Diceros bicornis minor: one gene and its partners. The protein of the gene in region 1 purifies or fractionates together with the protein of each later gene. This does not show direct contact. Links are inferred from orthologs where the notes say so. Each region holds a gene or a part of one and is shown in the gene's direction. Other genes may lie near its edges.

Region 1 (7,763 bases):
TAGCCCAGGGCCAGTCTTCCTCAGCAAAAAAAAAAAAAAAAAGCGAGAAGGATTGGTGGATGTTAGCTCAGGGCTGATCTTCCCCACAAAATAAATAAATAAATGAAAAATAAATAAATGGATATAATTAAAAAAAAAAAGAAATTGTGATGAGCTTGATAACACTTCCCAGAGAGGTGAGGCAATAAGCCTTTTTGAGATAAAGGAACTGGGTGGACTCTGAACTGCCTCTAGAGCTGCTTTTCCAGTCTTACAAGGATTTTTTAAGGACAATTGCTCTTAATTTCTCAGAAATTGGGTTGTAACTGAAAAGACATTATAGGTTGATCTACCTGTCCAACTACATCATAAAGGCACAGAGAAGCCACTCAAGTTGTCCCCAAGATGGAGTTTCTGGGGGATATCTGCCTCGTCAGTTTTTAATATCCCATTATCTACAAGCATTTATGGCTTAACTATGGACATAAGGCATCCCCAAAAGAGAGTGCAAAAGGAGTAGCCCTCACAAGCTCCAGAAAGTTCACTCCCGAAAAACAGCCTAAGAAAGCAAAGGCCTTCGCTGCACAGGCGGTAGTGCACCAACAAACAACAAAGATTGAGACAACAAAGGTCCCTGATGGACTGAGACCCCTCATGAGCAAAGAGGTCACAAAGCCAAGTTCTCAAGACATAGAACAAAACAAAAAGAGGAACAAAATCTCATCTTATATGCACATTAACAGCTTTAGCTATGCTTTGGGTCTCTTGGAGCCAGACTAATACCTGGGGGGAGGTAGCACGGGGTTGGGGACTGTGTGTGCTTTACAGAGTGCTTCGTCATTGCACGGACATTTTCTTGAAGTTGGTGGGGGACCTGCGTCATCTACCCCATTCCGTGACCAACTTATCCTTCCACGGGAGACTTCTGGAGGGGGCGAGCACCCTAATGGCTCTTAACTGCTGGGCCCGTGCCCACCAACATTGCGGCTCTTTTGGCTTCCAAGACGCCCTGTTAGCAACAGCTTCCACCTATGGGCGTACTCCACAGGCGGGCCCTGCGGCAGAGCTACTGCCGGCCACCCAGAAAGCAGGCTTGTGGAGCTGCCTGCATCTTGCTCTAAGGGTTTTCCTTTATGACAAATGACACAAAAAACAGAAACAAGGGAAAACAGTGACCGTCTCTGGGAGGAGAAGGATCAATAAACCAATGAATATTCAGTAGCTCCTACTGCTTACTTGTAGCTGAAAGTCTCCCAATTCAGGAGAATGCAGCCTAAGGCGTTTCAGGTGGGGATCGAATTAGGGTCTCCCATTGTTTGAGAATTTAGACACGACTGGTCAAAAGTATATTTATGTGGGGCCGGCCCAGTGGCTTAGCGGTTAAGTGCGTACGCTCCGCTACTGGCGGCCTGGGTTGGGATCCCGGGCAGAGCACCAACACTTCGCTTCTCCAGCCATGCTAAGGCCGTGTCCCACATACAGCAACTAGAAGGATGTGCAACTGACATACAACTATCTACTGGGGCTTTGGGGGGAAAAAGGGAAAAAAAAAAAAGGAGGAGGATTGGCAATAGATGTTAGCTTAGGGCCAGTCTTCCTCAGCAAAAAGAGGAGGATTGGCATGGATGTTAGCTCAGGGCTGATCTTCCTTAAAAAAAAACAAAAAGTATATTTATGCTGCAGCTAGAATCAGATTGCGAAAATTTAAACCATCCCTAAAATCAAGACCCTTAAGGGCCGGCCCCGTGGCTTAGCGGTTAAGTGCGCGCGCTCCGATGCAGGCTGCCCGGGTTCGGGTCCGGGTGCGCACAGACACACTGCTTCTCCGGCCATGCTGAGGCCGCGTCCCAGATACAGCAACTAGAAGAATGTGCAACTATGACATACAACTATCGCCTGGGGCTTTAGGGGAAAAATAAATAAATAAGACCCTTAAATGAAGGCCCAGCCAAGGCTTTCTTCAAATAGCCAATGTAATTCCCCTGAGGCTGATGGCAGTTTGGTAGGACTCAGCCACAAACGGGAGCGCAATCCGCATTTCTGTCAGACTATCTCTAACCGCAAAATGAGGTGCACCCTATTTCGTCCGACTGTATTTTGGGATCCTCCCGCAACCTGACAGTTATCAAGCCAAGCCCTCAGGACACAAAACAAGCTTGGCAAGATTCTGCTGTTCACTGTAAACATTTACACCTTTTGGAAACTTTTGGTCAAAAGGTGCAGTCCTTGACTCTTTAAAGATTAAAGATTTTTCCTTGTTCCTTGGTTTGGAGGCTCAAACAGAGCCCAAAGTGGCCACTGTAATTTTAAACTATCCCGGGTCATCTTGCCAGCTTTTTGCAGTTATCTCCCTTTTAGGGGGCGCTTTTATCAAGGTGGCCGCAACAAACAAGGTCTGATAGTGAGCTAGTGGGAGCAGCTCCCCCAAGAATAATCAAGGGTTGGCTCTTTCCCTTATGTGTCCCTGCACCCACCAAGTTCAGGTGATTTAAGCCCCGGATGAGCTGCTGCTGTCGATTGCCTCACCACGAACAATGAAGGCCCAGTAAGACACGTTCTTCAGGAGGCATCCCTATGAGGCCATTGCACGTCATGGGCAGACAGCCTGACACCTCGGTAAAGTCCCCAGTCACCTGGGAACGTGCTGAAGGACCAGAGAGAACAGTGCCTCTTTTCTTCAGAGTCAGAAGACTCTCATAAGATTAGTCTAAAAGGCAGTTTGTTGCAGTCACCGAGAAAATCAGTCCCCAAGCAGCCAATTTCAACAAATAACACAGTCAAAGGTAGACAAACATGAACAGATACAGAAATCCAATCTCTGGGACCCTACCCCAGAGTTCGGGACTGTAACCCGATCCTTTTGAGTGCCTCAGCGGCTGTAACCTTTATATTGTCTCCCACAATCCTAGCCTTGGGTTTTAACCCAGTAGCCAAATCTCACCAGTACGGCCTCTAACCCACAATCCTGACAAGATATTAGACGATTTTAGGCACAGGCGCATTTAAACAAAGTCACTCACCCAAATCCAAAAGACGTCTGATCCTGGAGCTCTTTACAGACATAGACAGACACAGACATAGACACCAATGAAACGGGTTCCTAGAATCTGGGTGAAGTCCTATTCCTCTTCCCACTCCGGTAGGGCACCCTATTAACCAGATGGTCCTCCTTCTCAAAGAGGAGACCCCAGATGGAGGAGAAGGAAAGTTCTCAGTGGTGGACCCCCAAGGTGACTTACCCTACTCCAGATGAGAGCCTGTTGACCCACCAGATGTAGCCATTTCTCTTCCTACCACATCAGCGTTAGGAGGCAGCCGGCGTCGGCACGGGAGAGCAGGTAGGGCAGATCCCTGAGACAAAGAGAGCCTCGGCAGCCCCTAGGGACTTACCTGACAAGCTGCCCATCCAAGGTCGGCTAGCCACGAGCAGGACTTAACGTCCCATCTGGGTCGCCAAATTGTTACAGCCCAGCGTGGGGCCTTCTGCTCGCCGCAAGACATGCCGGTAGTCAAGAGGCAAGGTGGTAGGAGAAACAGGACTTTTTTATTACAGCTTGCTAGCAAGGCTAGCAAGAGGGAAGATGGCCGACTCATGTCCCAAAGAACCATCTTAAGGGGGCATGAAATCTTACAGCAGTTATATAGGCCATTGGGTTATAGGGGAGGGGGCTAGGAATGTTGACCTTCTGGTGTTACAGACCGGGAGTGCCACATGAGATCTTTCAGTTTTCACTGATGATGGCTATCAGCATAGATTCCCTGTTCGGGGGTTATCACATTCCTAAGGAACTCAAAAGAGCAAAGTTATCATCTTATTGCAGCTGGGAGGTACATGCACAAGCAGGGGTCGTAAAATCTACAGAGCAGTTAGATCTGCTGGAGGGTGCATATCCAGCTGGGTTAGTTTGTCAGAGGTCATTCGAAGTTACAGTAGAGTTTTTCTTTTCTACAATATGGCTTCCCTTATGTCAACCTTATCTTGAGCCGGTATCACTTCCACTGCCCACCATGTCCCCTCTGCCTCCCGGGCACTGAGCCCTGCAGCCACGGCGCTGGATCAATATTTGCTACATGAATGAATGAACCACGGGGCTCCGGAGCAGGTGAGGGCACCCGGCTTCCTGTGCGGGCTCTGCTGACCCGAGGGGCCTGGGCCCGCTGCCCCTTCTGTTCCCCCGCAGCCCACCCCGCGGGGGCCGTGTGACAGCGACACCGTGCGGAGACGACACGCCAGAAGCTGTGCAGGGAGGACTCGCCACCGGAAGTCAGTGGAGGCTTCAGACCGGACGCTCTAGAATCCCGGAGGACCGGGATCTCTGTGGTGGGACGTGATGGATCACCCTCTACTTGGGATGATGCATTCTCCGAGCCGGGCTCCCTGGCCGATCAGGAAAATGGGGGAAGTGACACAATCCCCTGGGCGATGGGGACTGACAAGGGAGGAGGGGCCTAAAGAAGGGGGATTTCGTGAGCCGGCCGCCAGGTAACAGTCCCAAGCGTCTCAACTTCTCCGAGCTCCGGTAACCAGCTACGACGACCTGGTTGTAGGAGGAGATGGAGCCGATAGATGGGGATGCGCGTGCGCGCGCACGTACGGCGGCGTTGCCTTCCGTTCACGCGGCGCCCGGGGCTGCCAGCGCGCATGCGTCAAAGGGGCGGCGCAGGGCTGGGAGCGCAGCCCTGCGAAGCGCGGAGCGCCCTTTGGGCGGCTCCCGCTGGCGAGCGGGACAGCGGCGCGCGCGCGCGCGCGCGCGGAGGGGCGTGGCTTCCTCTGCCGGCAGGCTCGGATTGGACGCAGCAAGTAGAAAGGGTGGGAACCTCGTCAGAGGCCGCCCAGCGATTGGCCAGAGGCTGGAGAGAGCGTGGTCTTGGGAGGCGGGGCGGGGCACCGGCGGTGCAGGGCGAGACGCCGAGGTGGTGGCGGTGGCCTTGAATAAGTGAGCGAGCGGCTCTTGGAGTCCCTCTTCAGTGGGGCGGGAGGCCGGGGAGCCCCGGGAGCCCCCGAGAGCACCGAGGAGGCGTCAAGGGGAGGCGCCTTTCGGTGAGTGCGGCCGAGAGAAGCAAGCGCCCCGCCCCTCCCTCTCTTCCTGGACCGCGCCTCGCGGCGCCTCCCCCCGCCGACCCTGCGTTCCGCCCGGAGCTGAGCTCGGGCGCCGGGTACCGCGGTGGGGCGTCTCATACGGGCCAGCCGCTGTCTTTCGCCCCCTCCCCGGCTCCGGTTGGCTCAGGGAACTCGGAAATCTCTTGGTCCTGCTCCCCAGCCTCACCGAGGGGAAACGGAGGCCCGGGGGGGTGGGCCCCTCCTCTCCCGCGTCTCCACACAGAGGCCATGGCCGAGCCCCTGAAGGAGGAAGACGGCGAGGACGGCTCCGGGGAGCCCCCCGGGCCGGTAAAGGCGGAGCCCGCCACCACCGCTGCCTCGGTAGCGGCCAAGAACTTGGCCCTGCTCAAAGCCCGCTCCTTCGACGTGACCTTTGACGTGGGCGACGAGTATGAGATCATCGAGACCATCGGCAACGGTGCCTACGGGGTGGTGTCCTCTGCGCGCCGCCGCCTCACCGGTGAGCTCCCGCCGGGCGCCGCCCACCGATGGGAGCCCGGGCCCGCGAGGGGGAGAAGCCTGCCCCGGACAGCAAGGAGAGCGGGGTGTAGATCCTGGTCCGAGTCAGCAGAGCCGGTCCGGTGCCGTCCGGGGGCCAGGCGCTGGTGGGCATAGGCTCTGGAGCTCTGGAATGGTGGTGGTGCCAGCCCGTCAGCCTACTTCCTCAGCAGATGACGATCCCGGTTAGACCAGGATGGACATCTCGTCCTTGGTTGCCAAAAGGGAAATGCGTTCTGGAGCCGGAGACGGGCGAGGGCTTGGTGGTGGGAAGGGTGAGGCCTGAGATGGAGAGGGAGTGGGCAGGTAGGAGGAGCACAGGCATTAGCAGCTAGGCTGCTGCTGACTAGCTGTGCAGCCCCCAACAGGTTACTGAGCCAAGGTGTCCTTAACTCTAACTCTGAGCTGTTAGTAGCTGCCTGGGGGAAGAGATGTGAGAGAAAGTCTGATGGTTTATGTAAAGTGCTTAGCACAAGGCTTGGCACGTAGTAGATGCTCAGTATAGAGTAGCTGTTGTTATTTGCATCCTGGAAGGGGTTATTTGCGTACTGAAAGGGGCCTTGTGCCACGCTGCACCTACCCCAACATACTAGATGGTATCTGCCTTTTCCCTACTCCCCAGGCCAGCAGGTGGCCATTAAGAAGATCCCTAATGCTTTTGACGTGGTGACCAATGCCAAGCGGACCCTCAGGGAGCTGAAGATTCTCAAACACTTCAAGCACGACAACATCATTGCCATCAAGGACATCCTGAGGCCCACCGTGCCCTATGGGGAGTTCAAGTCTGTGTAAGGAGCAAGGATGGGCGAGGGAGGCAAAACTGGGTCCTTTTCTGAAGGCTGGGCCATATTGCTGAAGTTCTGGAAGGGCAGCTGAACCTGATATGCGGCAGGCTGGGAAAATTCCCACAGTTCCAGGACCAGTGCACTCTTAGGGCTTTGCCAGGGACAACTGTGATTCCTCAAGAAGAGTACAGACAATTTTATAGAATCTCAGTATATAGGATAGTAAACGTGGGACATTCGTACTATAACTGCACCCTCCTACTCCCATAGCAGATTCACTAATCAATCACAGAACACTTTCCTGCAGAAAACGGACAAGCCGTCACTGTTTTCATCATAGTCTTTCAAGCAGGCACTACCAAACAGTGGAGATGACCCCCAAACTAAACCTATTTGGCCAGCCCTGGTTTAATCCAACCCCGTCTTTTCTCTGATGGGGAAACTAGGTCTGGAGAGAAAAGCGATTTAACTTCACTTAAGCTCGTGGAAAAGTTGTAGAGATTCTAGAATCTTCATACCATGCCATTGGGCCTTACAGAGTCCAAGGGTAAGGCCATTACATGTTTGAAGCCGGGAGGGTGTGGTGAGGATGGGGCTGGAGTGTGGGTGAGACATCCCATGCCTGTCTCCCCTGCCCCTTCCAGCTATGTGGTCTTGGACCTGATGGAGAGTGACCTGCACCAGATCATCCACTCCTCGCAGCCGCTCACGCTGGAGCACGTACGCTACTTCCTGTACCAGCTGCTGCGGGGCCTCAAGTACATGCACTCAGCTCAGGTCATCCACCGCGACCTCAAGCCCTCCAACCTATTGGTGAATGAGAACTGCGAGCTCAAGATTGGTGACTTTGGCATGGCCCGCGGCCTGTGCACCTCGCCTGCTGAGCACCAGTACTTCATGACTGAGTATGTGGCTACGCGCTGGTACCGTGCCCCTGAGCTCATGCTTTCACTGCACGAGTACACGCAGGCTATTGACCTGTGGTCTGTGGGCTGCATCTTTGGTGAAATGCTGGCCCGACGCCAGCTCTTCCCAGGCAAAAACTACGTGCACCAGCTGCAGCTGATCATGATGGTGCTGGGTACCCCCTCGCCGGCTGTGATTCAGGCTGTGGGGGCTGAGAGGGTGCGGGCCTATATCCAGAGCCTGCCGCCACGCCAGCCTGTGCCCTGGGAGACAGTGTATCCAGGGGCTGACCGCCAGGCCCTCTCACTGCTGGGGCGCATGCTGCGTTTCGAGCCCAGTGCCCGCATCTCCGCAGCTGCCGCCCTTCGCCACCCCTTCCTGGCCAAGTATCATGACCCTGATGATGAGCCTGACTGTGCCCCACCCTTTGACTTTGCCTTTGACCGTGAAGCCCTCACCCGGGAGCGCATTAAGGAGGCCATCGTGGCTGAGAT
Region 2 (7,153 bases), on another chromosome or scaffold:
CCAGTTTTCCTAACTTGCCCCCTTTCCTCTATCCTGTACTGCTCCGTGTCCCACATTTCCATTCCTGCTCATTGTCCTCTGGCCTTGCCCCCTCTTTTAATTATGTCATTCTTCTTCCCTTCTCTGCTCTTTAATCCTTTTCCCTGGCGCTTGCTCCATGCTCATCCTGCTCTGCTCTACCCTCTGTCCACTGTCCTTTCCCTGCCCCCATCCCCATCCCCCTCCCTCAGCTCTCAGATAGGCCTGCTTTCTTCCTACTGCTTTCCCCACAGAGTAGTTTTATTTTGAAATTTATTAGTTTTTGTGAGGTTGAACACATTTTCACATGTTTACAAGAAATTCTTACGTCTTTTTGTTTGTTAATTGTCTTTTGCCCATTTTTCAGTATGACATTTAGTCTATTTCTTTGGTACAATTTCGCTAATATTTTTTCCCAGCTTCTTAACAGTTTGAATTTGTTCTGGTGTCATTTTTGTAAGAGTTATGTTGTTGTTTTTTATAAATAGGCAAATGTATCAGCCTTTTCTTTTATTGTCCCTGGATAAGTCATAGAATGTCTTTCCTTACACCACAATTAAAGGGGGAATTACCCCATATTTTCTTCTCGTACTTATATGATTTACTTTTTTTACATTTATTTTCCTAATCCATTTGGAATTTATTCTTGTATATAGTTTGTGATATTAATCTAATTTTATTTTTTCCCTGTGAGGGATCATAATTGGCCACCTCAAAAGGTGTCTCATTGGCTTGATTATTTTTAAGAAGAAGATTCTGAAAGAAACTTTGACCTTCCCCCTAACTGCCTAAAAGAATTTAAGATAGAAGGCCTGTTCCAGGAAGGAGCTAATACCATAAGATAACATTGTCTATAGCTGGCCCAGCAAACACTTCTTTACCAAACATTTGCTTTTCCATCTCCATGTGAATTGCCTTCCTCCCCTTTGAAGCCCCAAGCCACTACCCCCAACATCCTCCTTTGTCTTTAGCTGAAAATGGTATTTAAGGGCGGCTTTGGCCATTCTGGTGAGTTACTCAGCTTTCCTGAGTTTCTCCCATGTATACATGTTATAAAGCTCTGATTTTCTCCTGTTATTCTGTCTCATGTCAATTTAATTCTTAGGCCAGCCAGAAAGACCTAGAGGATAGAGGAATTGTCTTCCTCCCCTACATCGCAAATGGCTACCCAGCTGTTACAACACTGTTTATTAAAAAGTACATCTTTGCCTCAGTGATTTGAGATGCCACCCTTGTCATTTACTAAATTTCCCTGTGTACTTGTCTGTTTCTGGACATTCTTTATTCCACAAGTCTGTCTTTCTTCATGCAAAAATGAACACTGGACTTGGAACTGAATTATTTGGGTTTTTTCTGCTCTACCCCAAGACTTTCTGTGAGATTTTAGGCACATTCTTTTCTCTTTCTAGGACTCAGTTTCATCATCTGTAACATGAGAGGCTCCAACTAGATTATTTCTATTTCTATGACTGTCTGTACTAATTAGTACTAATCTAGATTGCCTTATACTATTAGGAGCTAGAGAGTTCCTGCTGCAGCCTGCCTTCCTGGAACTTGAGGCATGGAGTTCTGGCTTCCCAAGCCTGACCCCTTCTTTGACTCAGTGTTGGGGTGACTTTGGGTTCTTGGTTCTCTAGTCCAGGATCTTTTTGCATGTAGCTTCATTTCTTTGGCCTTGAGAGGCTTTTCTTTGACCCTGAAGGGGAGGAAGACTATCCTTTACCCACTCTGGGTCCTTTCTGGCTGAGGTATGAATTAAATTGACATGAGACAGAATAACAGGAGAAAATCAAACAAAGCTTTATAATATGCATACACGAGAGAAAGCCAGGAAAGACTGGGTAACTCGACAAAATGGCTGAGGTTCTCCTCTTAAATACCCTCTTCAGCTAAAGATAAAAGAGGATGTTGGGGGAGTCAGTTATGGGAGATTACCAGAAAAGCACAGTAAACAAGAGTAATGTTATTATGCAGATTTAAGGCCTTGCCTTCCCCATTGATAAGTTTCTACAGATGAAGTCATCCCCCTTTCTTCCCAGTACAGAGAGGGAGATACCTTTACAAATGGAGATTTCCCTTACAAACATAAATGTTTGGTAAACAGAACTTTGATAAGAATGGGCTTAGCAAGGACCGTCCCAGTCTATCCATACCCAGAGTTATCTATAGGGATGGCCTGTCCTGGGGATAGGCCTTCTATCTTAAATCCTTTAAGGCAGTTGGGGGCGGGGTTCAAAGTTTCTTTCAGAGTCTTCTGAGCCTTGATTGTCTTCAGTTTGAAATAATCCACATACCAGAGTGGCACATCTTGGGGCAGCCTGCCCTGAACCCCATCAACCTCTTTCTGATTCTGCTGGCACCCTACCATGACAAGGTCACTTTATATATGTGCTCATAATGACCAGACAGGAAGGATGTTGGGATTGTCAACAAAAATAATCCATAACCAATCTATAAATCAAAATTGGGGTGAGTTTATTATGAGCCAGATCTGAGGACCATATAGCCCCAGAGAGTCCTTCCACAAAGGAATGGGTCACTCCAAATGCATCACATATGATTGGAATGTCCCTTTTACAACGGTCACGAGATTGCTTTGCTGGCACTGCAATTCGATGAACACAGCAGGTCAGTGGTCTGGAGGTGGGTGGTCATAGCAGGTCAGCAATCAATCCCTAGTTTAGGGAAAGATGCTTGTCCTTAAGGAAATGCTGATGTGGAGGAAGTTATATCCTTATCTTTAAGGGCATTGTTGTTGTCTTTGGGACATAGTAAATACTTAAAGCAGATATACAATGCATGCTCAACGGCTGTGTCAGGCCCTTTTGGAAAAAAACAAGTTCAGGCTGAATTAGTTTTATACCAAATGGCTTCCTCATATACTCCAATATCCTATTGCTTGTTATTTCTTTATCAGGATGTTGGGTGAAACAAGATAATCCAAATAAAATTCTTTGGTTGCCCTATTGTGTGGCAATCTTTACAACAGCCTTGTTGGTACACATTGTTATTCTCATTTTAAAATATGACTTAGGTAGTGTCTTCACCTGTGCTCCCTTCCTACCCGATGTGACTATTATAACATTTATCCTATTATCTTACAAATGGTTCATTTTTAAGGCCCTTTACTTGTATGTAAACTAGGAATGATAGCAGTCCCTCTCACACTGAGCTGTGGGGATTAAATAACATGACTCAGTGACTGGTACATAGTTGGTTTCTAATAAATGTTAATCACTGTGTGTGTCCCCACTAGGTAAGGGAACTGACATTTATCCTTTATTCATAAAGGGCTTGGCTCATGGTAGGCTTTGTGTGTGCGGATGAAGCACAGCTTCACTAGGAATCACTGCAGAGCAAGCAAAGGCAAGAATAAACATGGTGGTTAGATGTCAGAAAAGACACCAAAGAATAATTACTTGGGTATGTATAATGCACTTGCTCTCAAAGAGTTGTAGTGATGGGCAATGCTGGGGAAGTCCTTAGGACTAGAAGCCTCAGAAGAGTCCTTAGGATTTTATGTAGACTTAAGTTTTGAAAATGTTTGAGCTGGAGTGGCGAGATTCTGATCAAAGGATGCTTTCAAGAAAGGCTGGTGCAATGGGCGGGGTATTTATTAGAATCAGGCCAGTGACTCCAGAAACAGCCACAAAACAAGCCCCCTTCAAGGGCCAGGAAGCTCGTTGGGATGTTGGGACCAGAAAGGCACTGAAGCCAAAGCCCCATGGTGCCGTCTAGTTCCCAGGTTCGCTTGTATTCGAGAGGTGATCGAGTCACTTCAAAGGCCATTCTGGAGGGTGCTGCCTGTTTTGGGGTGGGAGTGGGGTCCGACTTGGTCCCCAATTCCCAGGGTCTCCACCCCTGCCTACCCACAACATCCCCGAGACCGTTTTTCGCAGGAGTCTGTATTGGTCCTTCCCCCGGAACCAGCTTCTCCTCCGCGGCTCTTCCACGCCTGTCACTCACCTGCGCGCAGCCAGTCAGCACCCACAGGCTGAGTCCGAGGGAGAAGGGGCGGCTACTTCCTGCGCGCCAATGAACGCGCAGACTCACAAGGGAGGGGAGGGCTTGCTGGTGTGAGCGAGCCAATCACGGACCCCCGGCGGCTGGCGGCTGGCGGAGCAGTTAGTCGCACGCTTGTTTCTCCAAGATGGCGGCCGCTAAGGACAGTTGTGGCTTAGGTGAAGTGCCCGCAGGGAACGGGCGGCGGCTCCACCTAGGGATTCCGGAGGCCGTGTTTGTGGTAAGAGCACGCTGGTCCTGGGCATCTTGATGCTAGGCCGTGGGCTACCCCTTCCTTGCCGGTCCCCACCCTGGCCTCGACTGTTGGGGAAAGGAGTTGAGCTAAAGGACCTGGGAAGAGAGTGCCCCGTCCGCTCTCCCTCCACGCCTGGACGGACTGAGCTGTGCTGGGTTCTGCCCGGGGGTGAACCGTGGTCCGAGAAGGCCCGAGAAGGGAAGGGGGCGCGGGGCGAGAGGACGCGGGAGCCGGGCCGGGGGCGGGGGCGGTCCCTGAGACCGACCCGCCCTCCCGCTCCCGGACGCAGGGTTTCGTCCCCTGCTGCCTGGAAAAAGGGAAGCGGTGAGAAGCTCGAGACTCAGCTTAAGTGCTGGAGAGACTGACAGATAAACGGTGACTTAGGATACCATGAGTAGGCAGAATAACTGCTGGTAAGGTGTGAAAACAGGAAATGACACCTAGTCTGTTGAAGGAATGCGGTGGTCTGTTGCCTTAGAGGAATGGAATAAGAGACTGATGGAAAAGTGGGATAGGGTGAAAATGTGAAGTCCTTGTGTGTTCTGCTGAGGAATTGAGGGTTTATCCAGTAGGCAACGGGATGTCGTTAGAAGGTGTCTAAATAAAGCCGTGATATAATCATATTTGGTTTTAGGTACATCATTCTAACAACTTAGTAGAGAATGAATCGTGTCGAGTTGAGACAAGAGGCAGGGAATGCAGTTTGGAGGCTTCACAGAACAGGGAGACCAACCCAAGTCCAAAGAGAAGCAAGTAGATGCTTTCAACCCTGTCTTTCCATCAGGCTAATCTAGAAATAGTATTTGAAAACTGTTTGAATAATGACAGAAAACCTGACTGGCCTTCCAAGCCGGTATCATCTGTCTTTCCCCACTCAGTTCTGGCTGAGTTACTATAAAATCTTAATGGAATTTTCTCGACCTTTTGGTTTGTACTTTTGTTGTGTTATCTCTACCTTTTTGTTAATGGTGTCTTACATCCTTCAAAAGACCCATTTGTTTTATTGATTCTTTTATTTATACCACTTTTATATACACTCTATATTGTATATTTGCATTTGCCGATTCAGTTTTGTAGTTATTTTCTTTAGTTATTTTGCGTTTTCTCCCTGAGCTGTGCCATTTATTTCTTTACGTTCATCTCCCAACTAAGTGTAACGAGAGAGAAAATTTGTTGAGTGCCAGGCACTTTCCTAATGCTTTTACAAAACTCCAGGAGGTAGATACTGTTGTCATTCCCGTTTTGTAGATGATGAAACTGAGGCACAGAACCCTTGAGTAACTTGCCCCGAGTCACACAGGGTGTAAGTGAGTTATCCAGGATTTGAACTTGGGCAACCTATGGGGCTCTGGAGCCTGTACTTACACATCGTGCTCTGCTACTGGGAGGAAAGTGAGGTAGTTACCTTGCTCAGTGTCATTTCTCCTGGTCCTCGCACAGTGCTGACACATAGTATAAGCTTGTAACTGGATGTCAAATTGAATTTCCATAGTGGCTTAAATACTACATTCATGGTGCTTAGCTGGAGATGGCTTCAAAAATCTAATTCAGGAGGATAAACTTTATGAGGGCTTTATAAAGTCTTATCTTAAAATGTTAATGGGTTATTTTTTCTAGACCTTAAAATTTCTACCAATATGATATAATAAGCAATCCAAATTTTACATAATTATTTTTATGTTCCCAAACTAATGGGAATAGTATGGTATTGTAGAAAGAACATTGGCATCTAAATAGACCAGGGTTTGAATTCTGCCTCTACTTCCCAATTGCTGCTTAATCTTGAGCATATTATTTTACCACTTTGAGCCTCCGTTTCTTTAACTGAAAGAGGAATAACAATACTTACAGAGTTGCCATGAGAAATGGAGAATGTGCTTTCAGTATTGCAAGTAGATGCTTAATATATATTAGTTTCTGTGATGATAGGAGGCGGTATACCATACTGGTTAGAAGTCAGACCTCACGCTTTCCCCTTCCCCCATTCCCAGTGGTGCAGTAATTTGCTTTTTTTCCCCCTTGTCCATTTACTGACCTCTTCATGTTTAGAACTTCATATCTAGTTCAGATATGACTTCCCTGTAGTTTTTCCTGACCACTGCTGCAAGACGGAATTCTTGGTACTTTCATCTGTTCCCTTAGCACATTGTGTTATAGAGATAGCTAATGTTTGTTGAGCATTTCCTAGCTGTCATGCACTCTTCTAAGCATTTTACACATGCTAACTCATTTAATCCCCTGTGAGGAAAGGTACTTTTTTTTGATTTTACAGATGAGGAAATTGAGGAAAAGAGAGATTAAATCACTTACCCAAGGTCAACACCTCTAGTATGTGGTGAAGCCAGAATTCAAACCAAGCAGCCCCTGTCTCTTAACCACAGTCCTATGCTGCTATAATTACTTCTCCATGTTAGACTCTAAGCTCCTAATAACAGGTACCATGTGCTAGAAACTTTGACTTATTTCTCTTTCCTGCAGTGGCCCTTCTAGGAAGATGGTATCTCCATTTTACATGCAGAGCTCAGCCCTTGCCTCAGCCTCACCTTTTCAGTTTCTTTTACTGTGTCTCTAGCTTGATGGCTTCATAGTTCACTCCCTTGCTGTGTTTCTCTTCCTTTTTCTCCTTGCTTTGCTTAAGCTAAAATATTCCCTCATAGCTAGTAAGTGTGGAGAAGAATAATGACCTAGAGATCCCATAAACCATAAGATAATTGAATTTAACTTACTTACAATGAAGGACTAAAGTTCTTTACAGTACTAGAAGGCTCTTATAGAATCTCCTTAAAGTTTCCATGTATTTTCATCTAGTTCTTGATCCTCATCTAATTAACTAGCTTTTCTTCAAGGACCAACATATAGTATACATTTTAAAAATGC
Region 3 (7,343 bases), on another chromosome or scaffold:
ATCAAGTTCTCTGAGCTCACCTACCTCGATGCATTCTGGCGCGACTACATCAATGGCTCATTACTAGAGGCACTTAAAGGTGTCTTTATCACAGACTCCCTCAAGCAGGCTGTGGGCCATGAAGCCATTAAGCTGCTGGTGAATGTGGATGAGGAGGACTATGAGCTGGGCCGACAGAAACTCCTGAGGAACTTGATGCTGCAAGCATTGCCCTGACCTTTTCCCCTTTCTCACTTCTCTGGGGGACTGTTCCCACCACCCACCTCTGGAGCTTACATACTGTTCTGGGGTTTGTTCTCTACCCTTCCAACCAATCACACCCCTGCCTTTTTTTTTTTTTTTTAAAGGAAAAGACAAAGGAAAATGGAAGTGGTGTTCCCCACCCCTCCCTGCACCCATGTGCCTGGGCTTCCCCTTTGTTCCCCTTTTCCACTTATCCCCCTAATGTATGTCTCTACAGCCACCTTGCCACTGAGCCGTAAGACAAATGTATAGAGAGAAGCAAAGTCTATGGAACATAGTCTTTGTAAGGGATTGAAGTGAACACTGCTTTTGGGTGCATTGAGGGGTTATCAGTACTTCTGGCTTTATGGGGGCTCTTAAATTTTGTCTGAAAAACCAAAGGGCTGTGAGTAAGGGAGCTATGTGGAAGGTGGGACTCTGAAGTGTATTTTGGAAATTAATCACCACCCTCTCCCAAATTATAGAATTTTTAAAAAACAAAGAAGCTGTGGCCCTTTCCACTCTCTCCTGGCCTCTGGTGCTGCTCCTCTCTGCCTTGTTTCCTCCATTCCATGGCTTGAAACCTCTGCCTGGTGTGGTTCCTTTTCTTCCTTTGTCAAACCCTCTTCAAGGGAGTAATAGGTAAGAGGACTAGGTCAGCCTAGTCGCCTCTCCCAACTGTGGTGTGTGTGTGTACACACATACACAGGGTGGATGGAGAAGTTGTTGCTAATTAAAATACACTCCCCCTAAAAAGGGGAAGGGGGAGTGTGACACTTTCCTTCCATGTTCAAGTGAAAATAAATAATGTACCCTGCAGCCCTTTTCCCCTTTGCTTTCTTATGACTTGGGCAAAGGGCATCATAGGTGAAAGTGAAGTAATTCAATATCAACTCCTTTCTTCTTTTTCCTTCCCCATCCTCTACCCCCAATCCCACTCCCAAGCTTGGGAGCATGGGGCTGGGACATGCACTGAGTGTTGCACTTTTATTTAGGTGGGGAGGCATGTTGAGTGAGCCAGGAAGCCTAGAACTGGAGCCCAGTCCAGCTGGTACAATACCACCTCCCTTTCAGCTCCCAGAGGAGATGTCCAGACACAGACTTTATGATTATATTTTTTTCAATGCCAGTGCTGCTCAGCCCTCAGCGTAACTTCAGTTTTCATGAAATAAACAGTGACTACATAAAATTCCACTTTTCTGAAACTGAAATCTGAGCTCAGGTGCAAGTTTCTTCTTTCCCAAGAAGCTGAGCCTGTGTTCCATCAAGAGAGTCAAGGTTCCCCAAGTGAGGGGAGCTGTGCCTGGGTCCTGCCTACAAGTCACAGCAACACCAGCTCACAATGGGGGTCTCAACTCACAGAAGTCAAAAGTCTTAAGACCGTGGGTGACCCAGATTGCCATAGAGGTCAGGCCTGCGATGCTGGAATACAGGCAGGTGTTGGCGCAACTGTCGCAGATAATTGAGGTCAATTCGGGCAAGGCAGAGGCCTTGTCCCTCAGAGCAGCGGGCCACCACTGTTCCCCAGGGATCCACCACCATGCTCTGGCCATAACTTGATCTCTTCTCATGGTGGCGTCCACACTGTGCTGCTGCCACTACATAGCACTGGGTTTCAATGGCACGTGCCCGCAGCAACACCTGGGGATGAGGAGATGTGTGTTCGCGTAAGTAGACACAGGTGCTAGTGGGGAAGTGATAAGCAATGGACATTACAGGCCAATATACCCATCGGGGCCATTCTGATAATTGTTTAGGAATGATTTATTTATTCTTTAACATAAGTTAGGCAACGATCTGGGGAATGAATTTTCTCACTAGCTGGGAAGGGGAAGAAAGTCTTTCAACTGGTAGGGCCAAGGGAGAAGAATGAGGTCAAGAGAAGGCCCTTATATTTTGAAGAGGTGTCCTCTTACCTCCCAGTGGGCTGGGCCTGTTACAGATCCAAAAGCTGAAGGGTAGGTAAGTATTTCTGCTCCAGCCTGAGCCAATGCCAGAGACAGTTCAGGGAACCGCATGTCATAGCAGATAGCTAGACCAACCTGGAAAGAAAACGAGCCTAGTTAGCCCCCCTGTCCTGTGTGTCACAGCATCTAGTTATACCCCTGCTACCCATTCCTTAGGGCTTTCTATCCTCTACTACCAGGTCAAAGTATTCCTAATTCCCCTCCCTCTTGTTTGCCCACCCTTATCCTTTCACAACTCCCACCTTGCCTGCTGGTGTGCTGACAGGTGACTCAAGACTGGGCCCAGGCAGGGTAGAATTGCTTTCACGCATAGGTCCCTGCCCTGGAATCTCTACGTCACACAGATGTGTCTTCCTGTAAGTGGCCACTACTGACCCTAGAATAAGAGAGAGAAGGAATACTCAGTGCTGGTGCTTTAGAAGCTCAGCTTAGTTCTTCTCCTCCCAAGGAGGAGACAGTTTATAGGTATGAACAGAAGTACAAACACCCTGAAACCCTAGGCCGAGGAAATAGAGTTGAGAAACAAAACAGAATTCTGGAGAATCTTAGTTTAGGTAGAAGAGCCTGCGAAGAGGCAGGCTAAAGAGTTATGAAGTCTCACCCTTGCTGTTCAGAAGCACATGACAATTGTAGATTTTCTGAGTCTGCTCCCAGTCTTGGCCACGCTCATGGAAACCACCCAAGGACAGCCAGAGTCCACATTCCCTGGGAGGAAGGGACACTGACAACTCTTCTCAAGGCTCTACTCATATCTGGCAATCCAGGGACACTGCCCAACAAAGAAACTACCTCTCCCTCCCCCTTTCCCTGATACCTGGCAAGCTGGGTATATTCTCCCAAAAGGTTCCCATCCAGTGGCTCAGACAGGCGTAGCGTCTCTGCAGGATCTCGTGCAATGAAGTCAAATGCCTCAGGCAGAAAAGCCAGGCAAGAGCCCAGTCTGGCAGCCTCTCGAACTAGCTCAGCACAAGTTTTAAAGTTCTGCTGTTTGTCAGGTGTCGATGTTACCTGGCACACAGCCACAAGGGGCAGTTCACAGGAGGAGGAGGAGATAGCCATGGCTCTGGGTCTGTGGATGGCACAGGCAGGACTCACTTCCCAGCATGGGGAAATCCAAGTTTGATGATGAAGGGATCAAATGGGGAGGAAGGAAGGCTGAACTGCCCTTTGATTCTGTTCTCACAAGGCACAATGACCCACCAATCAAATGTTCTGTGGATGGCTGGTAGCCCAGTGTTTCCCACCATCCATTCATTTAACAAACACTTATTGAGCACCTGCGATGCGCCAGGCATTGAGGACACAACAAAACACGGTTACCTGGGCTGAGCACAAAGTACTGAGAGTCGAGGTAGCCGGAGTCCAGGACACAAAAGAAGGGACAGGAGCTGGTGAGGAGGCCTGATGATGAAGCCCAGCCTGAGGAAGATGAGAAATCAGGAAACCAACCCGTCCCTCAAGCGATAAATCTCTCGGATTTTCTGACTTCTCTCTTCATACTGTGAGGCTAAATCAGGGCTCTGCCAGGAAAAACTCCCGTCTTCAAAACACTCTTTACTATAAATAATTATGGGCTACAGGAAGAGATCATAAAGTGGGAAGATGGAGAAAAGGGCTCTGCTCGGCACCTGAATACCTCGACTTCTAGTGATCTCACATTAACCTGAAGCCCTTGTCCTCTGCCAAACTTTTCTGCAGTTCAAAAGTCACCCCCGAGAAATTTCCTTGGTTTTCTCAGCCTCTCTCCTTGACTGTGCACCTGCACAGCCTTACTGACTCAAAGCATATTTTCCCCATTACACCACAATCTCTGAGTGGAAGTTCACCCTCCCTGGTTCCCCACCACCCCGTGGTAGGCAAGGGGCACCGGCACCCGAATCCCAACCCGCGCCCCCACTCTCCAGTTGGCCCGTCCTTCCCCGCCTCCCTCAGGGGTAGCGTCTCTGCTGCACAAGTTAAAGCACCACAGGTGGAATTCACCGCGGCCAGCGGGCTAGGAAGCAGGTCCTACATGAAGGTACTGCCAAAACCATTCGCAGGATCCGAACCGAAAAGCGGCCTGGAAGCAGAGGCGCCGGGGGCGAGTGGGCGGTAACTCCGAGACCGGACGTGACGCAAGGCGGGGGCTGAGCTGCGCACGCCGGGAAGCCAGCAGGCGGCGAAGATGGCGGAGAGCAGCGGTCGCGCCGGCAAGAGCAGCGGGAGTGGCGCGGGGAAGGGGGCGGTGTCGGCAGAGCAGGTGAGGCGCGGAGAACGCGGAGGGGGCCAACGCGGCTGGGCGTGGAGTCGATGCGAGAAGAGCGGGGAGCCTGAGGCTGGTGCAGGCCCACATTTGCGTGGCCGCCGAGAGAGGGGAGGGTACTTGGAGAAGCTAGCCGAACCCCCGGGGAGAGAGTGGGCGGGTTGGTGGGTGAAAGCCACGCCCCCCTTGGGGTGTTGGTGAGCCTGGGGGAGGGGAAAGCCCTGAGATGCAGGGTCTGGGAGGATGCACAGGTCTGAGGGGAGATAGTCGTCACTTTCCCCACCTCTCCGCACCCTCAGACGGGGTGTGTATGGCAGGGCAAGACAGCTGGTAACGGATCTCAGGGTATTAGTCAACGGGCTGGTTGTGTAGTTTGTTACGTGACCCTGAAACCACGTTGACAGTCGCCGTCACTCTGCAGAGCCACGTGCGTGACTCACATACTCGATAAGTCTAGTGTTCCATACTATTTTAATTTGGGAGTCATTGTTAGATTGAATTTCTTTAGAGACCAGAAACCGTTTTTAATCCGAGTTTGCATTTCCCCCAGTGCCTGACATCGAGAAACGTTTGATAAATTAATTAGAAAGCCCTTTGAGGCTTGGGAAACCATGGTTTGCTGATAGTGGGGCTAGTGTTTAATAGAGGTAAGAAACCTACATAATATAAAGAAAAACGCAGTTAAACAACAGCTCTTTAAATTATAGTTTTATTTATCAGTTATTTGTTGAACAATTACTACAGGCGAGGGTATCTGCATAAAGATTTTTCAAACTGACCTATGCAGTCAAAGAGCTCATAGTCTGGTGGGAAAATAAGACATACAAAATGCTAATATGAGGCAGAAGATAAATTTTATCTTTAATAAAATTTATATTATAAAATTTATAAATTAAATATGAGGTATAAAGTGCTATGGGGTTTTGGGGAGGGGGGAAAGAGAGAGTTTCTGGCTTAAGGGAAAAAAGGGAAGTGAGAGGGAACCTAATACCCTTTTTGAGGGTCTGCCATGTGCCAGGAGCTCTGGTGGGTACAGGGAAACAGATAAATGAAATAGACTTTGTTTTCAAGTTAGCTCCAGACTCATTTGAGAAAAGACAAACGAAACAATAAGATGTACAGGGTTACACAAAGGCCCTTCTTTATGGCAGCTAGAGGAGGGACCTCTAACTAAGCAGGAGGTTATGGGATTTGAGGCATGGGTGGAGAAGGCAAGCTGTGGTATAGTGGGGTGGCCAAGAGTGTCAGAAGTGCACTGGGGTCAGTGGGGTGGGTCAAACCTGTGTTTGAATCACATTTCTCCTGCTTACTGTCTATAGATGACCTCCCATGAGTTAATTCTCTCCACCTTCCCCTCCTATAAAAACATAATGGTACCTACCTCATCACTGCGTTTGATTATTAGGCAAGACAATGCATGCAGTGTTTTGCACAGTGACTGTAATATACTGTGTATTTAATAAGTGCTAGTTATTTTGTTTTCTAGAGGAAATAATCCTTCAGCTCAATTCTAAAGGATGAGAGAAGTTAGTGAAGCAAAGAAGGAAGTGAAGGATTTTCTAGCTAGAGAGAATAATGTGTTTAAGAGCACTAAGGCATGAAACTGCCTGACATGTTTGGGGTGCAGGTGGAGTTAAAGTTTAGGATGGACTACCAGACTTGAATGTGGAGAAAAAGGGATAAAAGAGGATGTGTCTCAAGTTTTTGTCTTTGATGGATGCTGGTGCCATAGGGAATGTAGGAAGATGGACCAGTTTGGGGGGAAAATAAGTTCATTTTAGGATTTTGAGTTTGGGTTTCTTGTGGGACATCCTGGTAGAGACATTTAGAAGGCGGTTTGATTTATAAATCTTGAATTACAGAAAGAAATCTGAGTTGGAGATTCAGATTAGAGAACTATGAGTTTATGAATGGTAGATGAAACCATGATTGTTGATGAAGTCATCGGGGATTTGTACAGAAAGTGAAAAAAGAAGCAGAACAAGGGTGGAACCAATAGTTAAGGGGTTAAAGAAAGAGAGCCCTCAGAAGGGACTGAGGAGTTGTGATAATTGAGTTCTGAGGCTGTTCCTTGCTTAACATTCTCTTGCCTTTGTGCTTGTGTTCCAGAGAGAACACTGGGTAAAAAATAGAAGATTTATCACTGCTGCAAGTTTGATCCACATATGTCCCTTATAAACAAGATGGAAGCAAGTAACACATTGTGCTAGGCACTTCACTTGTTTTATCTTCTGTTATTTAATTACAGCCATTCGAAGTAGGTTGTATTGTCCTCCCTTTATAGATAAGGACATTTGAGTTTCAGGGGCTTCAGTGAATTTACCCAAAGTCAGTAACTGGAAGTGCAGGGCTTTTAATTGAGGGACTTGAGAAGCAGACCTATTTTTTCCGTCTATACTATGATCATATTAGAGATATTTGGGCTGAACCTGAAGGATTGGATAGATTTGAACAGGCGGTACTGGAAATAGAATGTAGGGACAGAGTAGGAAGAGGAGAGCTAGGGAAAGCTTAACTTGACACAAAGTGCAGTGACTGCTAAATTTGTTTAGCTAAATCATGAGGTGTAAGTCAGAAAGATGTGGCCATTAAGGCAAGCTGAGTCTTTGCATGGCAGAGAATTTAGGACTTTTTAATGTAAGCAGTGAGGGAGTCACAGAACGATATATATTATACTATTGACTTTTTTTCCCTGTTACATAAAATAATACATGTTCATTGTAGAAAATGTAAAAACACAGGAAAAAGTACAAAATAAGAAATAAATTACCCATGATGGTACTAGTAGTATCCAGAGATAACTGTTCTTACCATTTTGGAGTATATCCTTTGAGAGGTTTTTCCTCCCTCCTTTATGTTTTTGTATATGTGTGTGTAGATGGAAAGAGAAGGCATGTGTATTTTATGTATTT
Region 4 (7,509 bases), on another chromosome or scaffold:
CTTTTCTAGCCCAATTGTTCTGGCTAGAACTTCTAGTACTATATGGAGTAGAAGTGAGAAAAGTGGGCATCTTTGCCTTTTTCCTGATCTTAGTGAAAAACTTTCAGTCTTTCACCATTGAGTATAATGTTCACTATGGGTTTTTCATATATGGCTTTTATTATGTTAAAGTAGTTTCTTTCTATTCCTAGTTTGTTGAGTGTTTTTATCATGAAAGGGTCAAATAGAATTTCAGGAATTAAAGACAATAATTATTGAAATAAAAACCCAAGGTGTGGTTTAAACAGGAAATTAGACATAGTTGAAGAAAGAATTAGTAAATTGGTGGAAAGAATTGAATAAATTACACAAGATTCAGGAAATAGATAGTAAGTGTAAAATAGAGGCTAAGAAATATGGATGCTTCACATTTCTAATGGGAGTTCTAGTAGGAGTCATGAGAGAAAATGGCAGAGAGTCAACATTCTGTGAGATACTGGTTGAATATTTTTCAGAATTAACATGAATTCTCAGATTAAAGAAGCATATTATGTCTCAAGCAGGAAAAATAAAGAAAACACACACACACACACACACACACACACACACACACCAAAGTGGAAAGGTAGAACGCAAAACACAGTGAATGTCTTAAAACACACCGGAGAAAAGACAGATGATTTCTAACAAAATCACGAAAAGCAGCCTGACAGGACTTTTTATCAGTATATAAAAGCCAGAAGACTATGGAAAAATGTCTTTAATAATTGTCAGTCTATAATTCTATGCACAGCTAATCTGTCATTTAAAATTAAGAGTGAAATTAAGACAATTTTATGTATACAAAGTGTATTAGTTTCATAGGGCTGCCATAACAGAGTACCACAAACTGGGTGGCTTAGAACAACAGAAATTTATTTCTCACAGTTTTGGAAGCTAGAAGACCAAAATAAAGGTGTTGACAGTGCTATCTCTGAAACCTATAGGGGAAGGATCCTTTTCTTGCCTCTTCCAGCTTCTGATAGCCTGAAGCATAACTACAATCTTCACATGGCATTCTCCTATGTCTCTTCAAATAGTCCTTCTTCTGTGCATATCTATGTCTGTGTCTAAATTTCCCCTTTTTATAAGGACACAAGTCATATTGTGCTATGGTCTGAATGTGTTGAAATCCTTACCCACAAAGATGATGGCATTAGGAGGTAGGGCCTTTGGGAGATGCTTAAGTCATGAGAACAAAGCCCTCACAACTGGGATTAGTGTTCTTATAAAAGAGACCCCACAGAGATCCCTTGCCCTTTCCACCAAGGGAGGACACAGTGAGAGGTCAGCAGTCTGCAACCGAGAATATGGCCCTCACCCAAGCATGCTGGCACCCTGATCCTAGACTCCAGTCTTCAGAACTGTGAGAAATAAATGTTTGTTGTTTATAAACCACCCAGTCTGTGGTACAGATCTTCCTCGATTTATGATGGGGTTACGTCCTGATAAACCCATCAAAAATTAAAAATATTGTAAGTTGAAAATGCGTTGGGGCTGGCCCGGTGGCTTAGTGGTTAAGTGCGCGCGCTCTGCTACTGGCGGCCCGGGGTTCAGATCCCGGGCGCACACCGACACACCGCTTCTCTGGCCATGCTGAGGCCGCGTCCCACATACAGCAACTAGAAGGATGGGCAACTATGACATACAACTATCTACTGGGGCTTTGGGGAAAAAAAAAAGGAGGAGGGTTGGCAATAGATGTTAGCTCAGAGCCGGTCTTCCTCAGCAAAAAGAGGAGGATTAACATGGATGTTAGCTCAGGGCTGATCTTCCTCACACACACATACACACACACAAAAGAAAATCATTGAACACACTTTATCTATCAAGCATCATAGCTTACCCTAGCCTACCTTTATTATTATTACTTTTTTGATGAGGAAGATCAGCTCTGCGCTAACATCCATGCCAATCCTCCTCTTTTTGCTGAGGAAGACTGGCCCTGGGCTAACATCTGTGCCCATCTTCCTCCACTTTATATGGGACACCACCACAGCATGGCCTGACAAGCGGTGCATTGGTGCATGCCCGGATCTGAACCCGGGCCGCCAGCAGCAGAGTGCATGCACTTAACTGCTATGCCACAGGGCTGGCCCCTATCCTAGCCTACATTAAACATGTTCAGAACACTTACATTAACTTACACTTGGACAAAATCATGTAACACAAGGCATTGAATATCTCATGTATTTTACTGACTACTGTACAGAAAGTGAAAAACAGAATGGTTATAAGTGTATCAGTGGTTTACCTTCATGATCGCGTGGCTGACTGGGAGCTGCGGCTCACTGCCACTGCCCAGGATCATCAGAGAGTATTGTACTGCATATCGCTAACCCAGAAAAGATCAAAATTCAAAATTCGAAGTATAAGTTGTCAGAAGTTGAGGACCGTCTGTATTTTGTTATAGCAGTCTGAAGAACTAAGACATGTTGGATTAGGGCCCACCCTAATGACTTCATTTTAACTTGATTACCTCTTGTAACGACTCGATTTCCAGATACATGACATTTAGAGGTACCCGGGTAGGATATACATCTTTTTTTGTGGGGACACAACTCAACTGACAACACGAAGACTAAGAGAGTTTACTTCTCAAAGACTCTTTCTGAAAGAATCTACTGAAGGATTTACTTCATCAAGAAGGAAATTAAACTCAGGAGGAAGGAGTGGTATGCAAAAAGGAACAATGATCAAAAAAACTGAGAGAAGATTCTTGCCTAAGGTCACATTGCTCTTAAATAGTGCGGTCAGTACTTGAACCCAAGTTGTCTGACACCTTAGCCCAGGCTCTTAACTTTTACATTGCACATATCTCTATGAGGAATGTTTCAAAATCTCATAAGGTAATGTATAGGAAAGTATCTGAGACCTGCTTTGAATTTTAATATTCAGTCATTATTTATTGATCATCTCTAATGAAGTTCTAAGACAATCCCAGAGTAGAATTAGGCCCTTTTTTTATTTCCCAAATTAGAGAGTGATGACAAATTTTCTTCTGAAGAAGAATTCATTCTCAACAAGTGTTTATTTTGTATCCCTTCCCTGTGATGCACTGTGATAAGTGTTCTGGGTATAAGTGGTGGGGGAACCACTATCCCACAGATCTTGATTTTAAGGAGCTTACAGTCTAATAAAATTTTTTTTTAAAGGTAGAAAGTGTCATGTGCTTTGAGAGAGGAACAGATGTAGTCTTGAGGAGAGTTCAGAGGAGGGATTATTTTTGGTCTCCTCCATTGGGCTGCACCTTGAAAGACAAACATGACAATGCTAACTACGTCAGCTTAACTACAACTATTTATTGAGTACCTACTGTGTGCATGGTGCTATGCTTGGAGCTTTTCATCTTGATCTTATTTAATCCTCACAATAACTTTGTTAGGTCAGTATTGTTACTCTCAAATTAAATAAGGAGATATACTGTATTGCCACACAATTAGCCAATGGAACCAGACAGACCTAGGCTCAAGGTAGACCAAATCTTAAATTCAGATCTTGCTGGTTCCAAATTCCCTGCCCTTTCTCTTTCCTCACAAGTTTTTAGAGTAGGTAAAACATCCATTTCTTTCATTTCCAAAGTCCAATACTATCCATCCTTCTGGTTCAAATGCCGGGTCTTTTACAGAAGATTCTCAAAATGGGGTCTGCAGACAACTTGCATCAGGTCATAAAGGGAGTTTGCAAAACTACAAAATTTCCAGGCCCCAATCTGAAAGATTCTAAATTAAGTTTGGGATAAAGACCAGAGAATCTGTATTTTTTTCCACAAACTTATTTGGCCTCTTTTCAGAACCACGTGTCTAGAAAGTCTTCCAGGAGCGTTCAGTACAAATAAGTTCTTTGGAAGAACACTTCAGGGGCCCGCCTGGTGGTATAGTGGTTAAGTTCATGCACTTTGCTTCAGTGGTACAGGGTTCGCAGGTTCGGAACCCAGGTGCGGACCTATGCACTGCTCATCAAGCCACGCTATGGCGGCATCCCATATACAACATAGAGGAAGATGGGCAACAGATGTTAGCTCAGGGCCAATCTCCCTCACCAAAAAAAAAAAAAAAAAAAACACACGCACAAAAAACACTTCAACGAAGCCTTCTGGTCTTCATATTGGCATGCTTGAGGCTCAGGCTGATTCTTCCTCTTCCTGACAACACAGGAACTAGCTTGAAGGACCGAATGACTGAAGAGGTTTTGGCCGGATCCACATACATCCCAATTTAGCAGCACAAACTAAGCTATTTGTCAAAATGCTTAAAACCATACGCGAAATCTGCGCATTGTGCTCTGTCTGGAAGGATGTGGCGAAGCAAGCCAGGTCTGATCGCTCACGTGGGGAAAACAGACTCTGAATCGGAATCCCCAAGTTTCAAGGGATGCTAGCCCCAGAGCCAGGAGGAAACTCAATTAGCCCAACTCATGCGCAGGCGCAGAAGGAAAGAGGACTATCAAACCGCCAAGGCGCGCCCTTCCCGCTTCCTCTTTCTGGCCTTCTCCCACCGCGCAGGCGCAGAGAGTGAACCAAGATGGCTGCCCCCGTGGATCTGGAGTTGAAGAAGGTAAAGGAGGGTATTGAGCAGGCAGTGGCTTCTCTTTGGAAGCTAAGGGGAGTGTGAACAAGAATATCGAGTGAGGCTCGAGTCCTGCGGAAGGAAAGAGGCCTCAGGGAATTGGGGAATGATTTCCCAGAGTCCTAAGGCGGGACCGGGTCTCCTTAGGCTGGAGTGGTGGGCGAGCGTCTCTAGCTGGATAAGAGCCGGTTGGGCTTGGTCTGGTTAAGTCAGGCGGGCCGTTGGCTGGCCTGTCCCCTCGTTCCGAGCTCCAGAGCCGTTTCGTTGCGCTCAGAGCCATCAGTTGCATCGTAAGGCCTGAAGTGAGCGTTTCAAATTGGAGCCCTTTCGGACGAGCCGAGGCATCTGTAATTCTGCATCCCCATCTGCTTTGAAAAACTCCCTGTTCCAACCTTGTGTTTTTTAGTCCACTTATTTGATTCCATCTTGAAAGGTCGTAGTATATACATACATTTCCGCGTCAGATATTCTCATAGCAATGTTCATCTGAGGGCTTTGTCTTCCACCCCCTTCCCCCTTTTTTTGAAGAACTTGTAAACTACAGAAACAAGTCCAGTAAAGTTTTCCAAATAAAATCGATGTCTGAAGGAATTGGGTTTCTCTCTTCAAACAATTGCTTATTAACGTGTTGTTACTTAAAAACGTTTTTGCCATCTGCGAGTTGTCAGGATTTTAACACCACTGCCAACCCAAAACGATATCCTTTTTTGGGGACGCTGGGACACAGGGATTGGAAAGGATGCTAGACTTCATCTACTTTAAACCTATACTTTTCTAGAAGAGGAAACTGAGTACCAGAAAAAATTCAGGCACAGGCTGAGAGTAGAATCCAGCATTCTCTGCTTTACTTCACACCTTTGACCATTAGTTTAGGTTTTTCAGAAAAGCAGATTTTACTAAAGACTGCCTTCTGGTCAACCTTTGCATAGCTCTTGCTCCTAATAAATGAAGCCGTTTGTACGTATGTGTGTGTGTCTTGCTTTTTGTCATTCCTGTTTGGAAACTTGTAAATTTAGCCCTTACCTGGTGGTCTCTAATGCAGTAGTATCTCAGCTTTAACAATATACTAGCTTCCTTAGCAAACTATGTACAGAACAATCAGGTAATACCTATAATTTTACATGCAAAACAAAATTCATTTTAAGAATGCTTGAAGCATTCTAAAAGTTTAACTTTTTTTTTTCTGTTAAAAATTCAAATTTAAGTCAGGGTTTAGTGAAAGAGCTAATAGAGTACAGCTGTGAATGGACTTGCCTCCCAGTATTATTTGGATTTGATGCTAAGAAACCTGTGGACAAAATGCATACTAAGAAAATGATTACAGACTTAAATTGGATAGTTTTGACAACCAATTAAATTAACCATAAGAGAAACTTGTGGGGCTGGCCCAGTGACATAGTGGTTAAGTTTAGGCACTCTCTGCTTCAGTGGACCACGGCCCCCGGTTCATGGGTTTGTATCCCTGGCAAACCTACACACCACTCATCAGGCCATGCTGTGGTGGCGTCCCACATACGAAATAGAGGAAGATTGGCACAGATATTAGCTCAGGGACAATCTTCCTCACCAAAAAAAAAAAAAAAAAAAGGAAACTTGTTGTTTAAAGGTTTTATCTTCTAATATCTTTATAAGGTCTCTTTTTGGAGGGGGTGGAGACTAATAGGAAATTTCAGGTACCTCCTCTCTCCTCAAATAAATCTTTTTAAACTTTACTATTAGGTGAGACCAAAGTCAGAATAAAACATAAGTAGTAGACTTTGCCATGTATTGCAGTCACTAATGTTATTAGTAAGGCATAAATTTGACAGCAGGTGAAAGTTATTCCAGGCACTTCAACAAAAATATCCAAGATCTGTGTTTATCTTTGAGTTAAGTGTACACAAGGGTCAAATTTGGCTTGGTATGTGCATGTGAAGATCATGATAAAGTCTACCAATGCTTTGAAATTTTTTTCTCTTTTTTTTTCTTTCTCTTAAAAATATTCATATTCTGAATATTACTGTAGACAGTAGAATAGAAAGATTTCTGAACTAGGGGTCAGAAGAAATGAATTTAAGTACTGTAGCTGCCTTTCCACCTAATAGTTATTAAGCCTGTGCAAGCCATTTATACCTCTTTAACACATTTAGTTACTTAATTTGTAAACTATGATGATGAAACTGCCATCCCTGACTCGTAACATCATTGAGAAGAGTAAATGAGATTTTTTTATTATATCCCTCAGTGCTCTCATATTAATATTCCAATGTTAATATTTCAAACAAATGTGGGAAAGTGCTATGAAACCTAGTTGTATAATGCAAATGTAGCAAGTTGTTACACTTATGATTCTTGTTTTCAGTCTCTGGGTTTCATCCTCTGACTGTTGCATTTATTGCTTTTATTATTCCTTGGGTACCTGCTACTTGATATGGTTATTATTTAATGTGCATTTGTTCTGCTTCTTCAAATAGATTGCTTCTTCTGAGGACAGGGTAAATTCAGTATTTAGCATAGTGGCTTGATCCTTTACAATTATATTGACTTTTGTTGGTGTTTGCTTTGGTAAATTTCACAGCTTTGTCTCTAGTTAGCATGCTTTATTTTTTTATTTATTTATGTTTTTGTGAGGAAGATCAGCCTTGAGCTAACATCCATGCCAATCCTCCTCTTTTTGCTGAGGAAGACTGGCTCTGAGCTAACATCTATTGCCAATCTTCCTCCTTTGTTCCCCCAAAGCCCCAGTAGATAGTTGTATGTCATAGTTGCACATCCTTCTAGTTGCTGTATGTGGGACGCCGCCTCAGCATGGCCAGACAAGCGGTGCGTTGGTGCGCAACCGGGATCCAAACCCTGGCTGCCAGTAGCGGAGCGCGCGCACTTAACCGCTAAGCCACGGGGCCCTCCCCTGCATGCTTTATTTTAATATATTTGAATTTGACTT

The links.
Region 2: the proteins of MAPK7 (region 1) and VBP1 purify together in Homo sapiens (affinity purification with mass spectrometry; 3 studies listed by BioGRID and IntAct, with this or other methods). This does not show direct contact. The link is inferred for Diceros bicornis minor from reciprocal best matches to the Homo sapiens genes MAPK7 and VBP1.
Region 3: the proteins of MAPK7 (region 1) and PFDN2 purify together in Homo sapiens (affinity purification with mass spectrometry; 3 studies listed by BioGRID and IntAct, with this or other methods). This does not show direct contact. The link is inferred for Diceros bicornis minor from reciprocal best matches to the Homo sapiens genes MAPK7 and PFDN2.
Region 4: the proteins of MAPK7 (region 1) and PFDN1 purify together in Homo sapiens (affinity purification with mass spectrometry; 3 studies listed by BioGRID and IntAct, with this or other methods). This does not show direct contact. The link is inferred for Diceros bicornis minor from reciprocal best matches to the Homo sapiens genes MAPK7 and PFDN1.

What each region holds. Positions count from the first base shown.
Region 1 is NC_080757.1:2,122,573-2,130,335, forward strand, and holds the start of MAPK7 (mitogen-activated protein kinase 7), read left to right. Parts: upstream 1-4,750; 5' UTR 4,751-5,308; coding exon 5,309-5,540; intron 5,541-6,200; coding exon 6,201-6,366; intron 6,367-6,372; exon of another isoform or gene 6,373-6,910; intron 6,911-7,007; coding exon 7,008-7,763. UniProt on the Homo sapiens protein: Plays a role in various cellular processes such as proliferation, differentiation and cell survival. The upstream activator of MAPK7 is the MAPK kinase MAP2K5.
Region 2 is NC_080781.1:138,789,862-138,797,014, reverse strand, and holds the start of VBP1 (prefoldin subunit 3), read left to right. Parts: upstream 1-4,152; 5' UTR 4,153-4,168; coding exon 4,169-4,261; intron 4,262-7,153. UniProt on the Homo sapiens protein: Binds specifically to cytosolic chaperonin (c-CPN) and transfers target proteins to it. Binds to nascent polypeptide chain and promotes folding in an environment in which there are many competing pathways for nonnative proteins.
Region 3 is NC_080743.1:67,691,570-67,698,912, reverse strand, and holds the start of PFDN2 (prefoldin subunit 2), read left to right. Parts: upstream 1-4,324; 5' UTR 4,325-4,353; coding exon 4,354-4,428; intron 4,429-7,343. Other genes in the region: DEDD (death effector domain-containing protein), read left to right, coding at 1-216; NIT1 (deaminated glutathione amidase), read right to left, coding at 1,597-1,863, 2,139-2,264, 2,432-2,565, 2,791-2,894, 3,004-3,248. UniProt on the Homo sapiens protein: Binds specifically to cytosolic chaperonin (c-CPN) and transfers target proteins to it. Binds to nascent polypeptide chain and promotes folding in an environment in which there are many competing pathways for nonnative proteins.
Region 4 is NC_080740.1:58,601,484-58,608,992, reverse strand, and holds the start of PFDN1 (prefoldin subunit 1), read left to right. Parts: upstream 1-4,496; 5' UTR 4,497-4,541; coding exon 4,542-4,574; intron 4,575-7,509. UniProt on the Homo sapiens protein: Binds specifically to cytosolic chaperonin (c-CPN) and transfers target proteins to it. Binds to nascent polypeptide chain and promotes folding in an environment in which there are many competing pathways for nonnative proteins.